2 linked regions of the Danio rerio genome follow. The protein of the gene in region 1 purifies or fractionates together with the protein of each later gene. This does not show direct contact. Links are inferred from orthologs where the notes say so. Each region holds a gene or a part of one and is shown on either strand. Other genes may lie near its edges.

Region 1 (2,853 bases):
ACACCTACTGATTTGCTTTATCAATAGTGACAGGTAATACTTAAAGTATAAACGTCATGTCTGTTGTCCTAAGATGCATTAATTATGTCAGGTTTCCACTTTTTTCTTGTACTTGAATGTTTAAACGGCCCTCCTATGATTTGTCAGTCACTGAAATGGCCCCCCGCCTATTTAAATTTGAGACCCCTGTTCTACAAGATCTAAAACAGTCGCAAAAATTAGAACTTCTTTGGTAGAGAGAGAAAAAATAAATAAACAAATTGCCCTTAAAGCCACATAAACCTAGGTACAGTACTAGTGTTGGATAGGTTACTTAAAAAAATATTCATTATTGATTGCATCAAAAATATTATTTTAATTTCTTTTCTAATTCTTTTGTTTGAAAAGTAACTTATGCCGAGTTCAGACTGCATAATTTTTTAATAGGAAGAATTGCAGACAACTTCGTTCAAACTTCGTCTCACAGCCAAAAACACGTAATATATCTTTTGTTATTAACTACATAACAAAAAAGAAGCCTTTAATGGGGTAGAAAATGTACATATTTGCTCACCTGGGTTTGAAAGGAATTAGCAATTTCTCCTCAACTTTCTTTTCTAACTTTCTGTATGAAACGTCAAACCCGTGTGTGTGCTCCTGTCAAACCTCAACTAGTTTTTCCCTCCATTTCTTGGGTCCAAATAAACCGAAAATGATCGCTTTTAACTTCTCCCTCAACCTCCCGCTGGCCTGCAGGTACACACACACTAGTGAATGCTGCTTTCTCATTGGCTGTAGGCGATCGCCGATGTTATTTTCAGTCAAAACTCATTTCACACAGCATGATCTGAATCGCCGACAGCTCCAGATATTTAGCATGCCAAATATCTCACGGGCATCAGCGACTCATCGGAGATTCTCTCAGGTCGTATCTTTGATAGTTCATACTGTGTGATTGTCACTCAGGTGCACGAGCACCGATTTGCCTTTGATTTCAGGCATTTGTCAACGACTTCACAAAACCTGTCGGCGAGTCAAAATCGGGGCTAAAATCATGCAGTCTGAACTCGGCATTAGTATCACAATCGCCAGCGATCCAGGCTTGTAGATCGCAGGGAATTATACACCTTCACTTACAATCCCGTCACCATATGGACTACAATTCCTGTAATGTACCTCACACACAACTGTTCTGGTTTTCCGTTGATTACCCACACACACACACAGCTGCGGGAGCTGCTTATTGATTACAAGTTCTATTTATACGCCATGCACAAACACTTTTGGGCTTAGTCTTGTTCACTATTATTGTAGCATCACAAAGCGTTAATCCTGTCTAGTCATTCCGTGTTTGATCCTTGCCTGGTTTTCTGTTATTGCTTCTTTGCTGCCTGTAGTAAATCAAATCATGATTACTATTGGAATGTGAAGAGTCTTTCAACCAGCACAACAAAACATGTTACTGAAAACAATCACCTACTGCCCCTTTAAGAAAAACTCTTGATAAAATATACACCTATCTGTTGTATTATGCAAGTCCAGGAACATCTTCCTTGGCTACTGGAGTCTTTCAGGCCGGATCTGGTGTTGTATGATTCTGGTGTGGATCCGCACTGGGATGATGAACTAGGAAAGCTTCGACTCACTGATGAAGGTGAATTTGTTCATTCTGTAACACATCTAAAATCGCAAAATGCAACTGATTATTCAATGTTGTACTTTTTACTCAACGCAGGACTTTACCGGAGGGATCTCTATGTGCTTCACACAGTTGTTAAAAGCGGCATTCCTGTGGCCACTGTCATTGGAGGAGGCTATTCCAGAGATATTGATCGACTGGCACGCAGGCACTCAATAATTCACAGAGCTGCATTAAAGGTGAGCATGCAGAATCCACAATGAGGATAATGTGGGATTTCATGGAGCTGACAGGCTTGTTATTGCTTATTAGATTATTTACATATTTTTCCCCCTTTTTTAGTTAATCTTATTCTTTTATTATTATTTAAATCGGAACATATGACATGTATAAAACACACACTTTCTGTCCCTTTAAGTCACCTAAATGTAAAGTATTGCACTGTCTGAGGTTTATATGCTTTTAAAGGTTCATATCTTTGCTCTTAGGTTTGGAGGGAACATGGACTTTAACTCCAGGATGGAAATAAAATGAGATTCAACAATCATAGAAGAAAATATTCAGTTTAATTGTGTATGCATAAGTAAAATGTCGAGGATCTTTATATACTTGTAAATGGTTTCAGTAATTTAGATATGTAATTTATGTATATTCCCCCAATGAGGAACAAGGGAACGTTCTGCGGTTTCATTGCAATTGATTTTATGAATAAAAATGACAGATTTTTTCAAGAGATAATCTATGTTTTGCACCTCTAGTATTGTTTTAGCTTTTTAATATATAAAATATTAGCCTTATCTATATATATATATATATATATATATATATATATATATATATATATATATATTTAAAATTTTAATTTAAAATGTAATTCTAAAAGACAAGTCCAATTTATATATATATATATATATATATATATATATATATATATATATATATATATATATATATATATATATATATATAATATTATATTAAATATATATAATATATATTTTACATTTAAATTTTATTATTAAGTGATCAAATTAAATAATTAAACACTGTAAATAATTACCTATTTCTTTTAAAAGACATTAATTTTAGCTAGTGATCATACAGTTTTTTGTATATCTTTGTAGATAATAAAATAATTAAATTATTTTAATAACATAAAGAAAAATTGCCTTTCACTAAAAAGATATGCATTTGAACCAGCATGTCAGCTAAAACCTTGGTACTTTAGAAGATTT
Region 2 (4,204 bases), on another chromosome or scaffold:
AAAGAAAATAACTTGCGCTTCGAGGAGGATCTGTCATTTCTGGACCAGGAAAGAAGGAAGAGCTTGTGGCCCAAAGTAAAAGAGTCAAGGGCTGCCGGAAAAGTGGCATATTACATCGGGACACGTGCATTCATTGAAGGTGTAAAGGTTACTGTTTAAGCACTGAAATGACAACCTGACTGTTTCAAGTCATTACGGCTTTAGAGATTACCTTATTTTTCTGCTGGATTTATGACTAAGTGATTTAAGTTGGTTATTGGGCTCTGTTCATCTCAACACCTTTACATTTAGTCAGTTTTGACTTTTTGCCTTTGTTTGACCTCATAGTCAACAACTGTTCTTTGTCTTTTGTCACTTATATGTCGTTATCGTTCATTTCACTTAATGTCAGGGGTCTAAGAAACAATGCTATGCGCAAAACACTTTTTTTGTTTGGTAAAAACTATGGTTCGGACTGTTTTTTTAGGAGGATGCTAAATTCTGGAGATCTCAGTGGGGGGACTGATGTGGATGTCTCATGAGACAGAACGGTCAGCAGGTGTCGCTATTTTCAAAAACAAGTTTTGTGGGGAGATTTTGCATTCTGTTAGTGATGATGAGGGTCACTTTCTATTGCTTGTTATAGAATTACATATTATAAAGTGTAAATTTTTGGAAAAAGATTATTATTATTTAATTGACTATAAGTCATATAGGATATTTTGTCTTTAGTGGCTATAAAAACAAAAAGTCTTTTAAAAGTTAAAAATGGATTTCAATGTATAACCTTATATAATTTCCCCTCTGGTCTCTGATTTTTTATTGTTTTTTTTATTTACTTAATTTATGTTTTTTCCTTTTTTCACCTTCTTTAAAATGTGTTTTGCAGATTGTCACAACATGTCCGTCTTTTTCTAATGCTCCAATTTTCTCTAATATACTGTTAACTGTTTTTGAAAGCATTCATTCATTCAGTTTCTTTTCAGCTTAGTTTCTGCCTTTTTTATTCCGGGGTCGCCACAGCGGACTGAACTGCCAACTTATCCAGCATGTTTTACGCAGCGGATGCCCTTCCAGCTGTAACCCATCTTTGGGAAACACTCATTTACACTCACACTACGGACAATTTAGCCTACCCAATTCACCTGTACCGCATGTCTTTGGACAATGGGGGAAACCAGAGCACTCGGAGGAAACCCACGCGAACGCAGGGAGATGCAAAGATGCACCCATGCAAACTCCACACAGAAACGCCAACTGACCCGGCCGAGGCTCGAACCAGCGACCTTCTTGCTGTGAGGCGACAGCACTACCTAATGCGCCACTGTTTTTGAAAGCAATAAATAAACAAACAAACAAATAAATAAATAAATACATTCACACAGGACTTTTATTATGAAATGTTTTTCAACGACGACCAGGAAGTACAAAATACGTCATTTTAAAGCGTTGATTTCACTCAGCATTGGATTTATAATGTTTAATAAGAAGCCGCGCCGAAATTTCCGGCAAAGGAAAAATGAATCCAGTGATGAAGACGACAATGGAAAATTAGCTGCTGGTGAAGGTGGAAAAGATGCGGATTTAAAGGCAGATTTACCCTCAAAAGCAGGGATTTCAAGCAGTTCACGAGAAGCTCGAGAGTGTGACTCGAGTGAGGCAGAAGAGGAGGCTTCAGTTTCAGCACTCCAGACCAAAGACAGAAAACTGCACACAGACAGCAAAACACTCAGCTTCTCTGATGATAAAGACTGTAAGTATAAACACTATAGCCAGGTTTTTGATAAATGTATGTGTCTTAAAGCAAAACACTGCAGATGATCGGGGTAAAAATGTATCACAATTATTTATCAGTTGATTGATTACATTAAATGCATAATAAAATAATTAGTAATAATCTTAATTAGAAATAATAAAATATTTAGAAAAAAATATGAAAACCTATAATTGTAAACTTTCATAGTAGAAAAAAACAGCTGATGCTATAACTTAGAGGTCAGGTTTACAGCTTTCAAGATGTCTTATTTATATCTTATATCTCGTTTGGAACAATTAAATAGAGTAAATAATGATGGAATTTTCAACTTGGTGTGAAATGTAAATAAAAAGCCCAAAACCTCACGATATAGAGTTGCATGAATAAACAGTGTTTTGCCTACTACAGTGTCTCACATTAATGAAGAAATTTGACTCTTACAGCTACAGAGGGAGGTTTTCAAGTGAAACGTTCAGTCAACAGAGAAGTTTTGTTCCAAGCGCGGAAAAAAGAGGATTCTCCTGCACCTGCAACCAGTTCTCAAGGTGTGTGTTTTATTTTACATCAACTGTAATAACTACAGTGGGAAAAGTATTTATAGCGCTTTACTTTTTTCCACATTTCTTTATGTTACAGCCTTATTCCAAATAAATCTAATTAAATTCATTTATTTCCTCAAAATTCTACACACAATACCCCATCATGATGATGTTAAAAAAATATATTTTTTAATTGTTTCAAATTTATTACAAATAAAAAAGCAAAGAAATCATATGTACATAAGTTTTCACAGCCTTTGCTCAATACTTTGTTGATGCACCTTTGTTGATGGCAGCAATTACAGCCTCAAGTCTTTTTGAATATGATGCCACAAGCTTGGCACACCTTTGTTTAGGAAGTTTTGCCCATTCCTCTTTGCACTACTTCTCAAGCTTAGGTTAGATGGGAAGTGTACAGCCATTTTCAACAGTGTACAGCCATTTTCAGATCCCTACAGAGATAGGAGGATCAATAGGATTTGGGTCTGGACTCGAAGCCTGCTTGAAGATGAACCGTCGCCCCAGTCTGAGGTCAAGAGCACTCTGAAGCAAGTTTTCATTCAGGATGTCTCTGTACATTGCTGCATTCATCTTTCCCTCTATCCTGACTAGTCTTCCAGTTCCTGCTGCTGAGAAACATCCCCACAGCATGATGCTGCCACCACCATGCTTTACTGTAGGGATGGTATTAGCTTGGTGATGAGCGGTGCCTGGTTTTCTCCAAACGTAACGCCTGGCATTCATTCCAAAGTGTTCAATTTTTGTCTCATCAGACCAGAGAATTTATTTTATTATGGTCTGAGAGTCCTTCAGATGCCTTTTGGCAAATTCCGGGTGGGTAGTGGTTTCTGTCTGGCCACTCTACCATACAGGCCTGATTTATGGATTGCTGCACAGATGGTTGTCCTTCTGTAAGGTTCTCCTTACTTCATAGAAGAACGCTGTAGCTCAGACAGAGTGACCATCGGGTTTTTGATCACCTCCCCGACTAAGGCCCTTCTCCCCGATCACTGAGCTTAGATGGCCGGCCAGCTGTAGGAAGAGTCTTGGTGGATCCAAACATCTTCCACTTACGGATGATGGAGGCCACTGTGCTCATTGGAACTTTCAGAGCAGCAGAAATGTTTCTGTAACCTTCTCCAGGCTTATGCCTTGAGACAGTCCTGTCTCTGAGGTCTACAGACAATTTCTTTGTCTTCATGCTTGGTTTGTGCTTTGACATGCACTGTCAACCCTGGGACCTTATATAGACATGTGTATGCCTTTTCAAATCATGGCTAATCAACTGAATTTACCACAGATGAACTACAATGAAGTTGTGGAAACATCTCAAGAATGATCAGTGAAAACAGAATGGACCCGAGCTCAATTTAGATATGTGAATACTGATGCACTTGTGTGTTTTTTTTTTTCTTTTTTTTTTTTTTTTTTTTTTTTTTATAAATTTGCAAAAATTTCAACAAATCTTTTTCACATTGTCATTATGGGGTATTGTGTGTAGAATTTTAAGGAATAAATTAATTGAATCCATTTTGAAATAAGACTGTAACATATAAAATGTGGAAAAAGTGAAGCTCTATGAATCCTTTCCGGATGTATTGTACATAGTTCTGTACATTGATTCTTCATATGTTTTCAGGAAAGAAGAGTAAGGATGTCAGTCTCTCTGACAGTGATTCTGATGCATCAGCTGAAGACATTCCTCCTGACAGTGATGAAGAAACCTGTTCTACCATGTCAAGTTCCTCCGCTTCTTCACTACCACAACGAGGTAACTAAATCTAAAGACTAAAAATGAACCTACATAATTTTCCCTCTAATACTATAACCACAACTTTTCATTTTTATTTAAATAAATCTAATAAATATTAGATTTGGTTTCGACATTTGTTGTTTTTATTATCATCATTTCTGTCTTACACTTTGAGAC

Evidence for each region.
Region 2: the proteins of hdac12 (region 1) and gcfc2 purify together in Homo sapiens (co-immunoprecipitation; 3 studies listed by BioGRID and IntAct, counting the BioPlex papers as one, with this or other methods). This does not show direct contact. The link is inferred for Danio rerio from reciprocal best matches to the Homo sapiens genes HDAC11 and GCFC2.

The regions. Positions count from the first base shown.
Region 1 is NC_133190.1:36,319,202-36,322,054, forward strand, and holds the end of hdac12 (uncharacterized protein SYNPCC7002_A1628), read left to right. Parts: intron 1-1,516; coding exon 1,517-1,633; intron 1,634-1,714; coding exon 1,715-1,857; intron 1,858-2,106; coding exon 2,107-2,130; 3' UTR 2,131-2,353; downstream 2,354-2,853. UniProt on the Homo sapiens protein: Responsible for the deacetylation of lysine residues on the N-terminal part of the core histones (H2A, H2B, H3 and H4).
Region 2 is NC_133192.1:34,235,129-34,239,332, forward strand, and holds the start of gcfc2 (intron Large complex component GCFC2), read left to right. Parts: upstream 1-1,404; 5' UTR 1,405-1,455; coding exon 1,456-1,732; intron 1,733-2,178; coding exon 2,179-2,280; intron 2,281-3,913; coding exon 3,914-4,045; intron 4,046-4,204.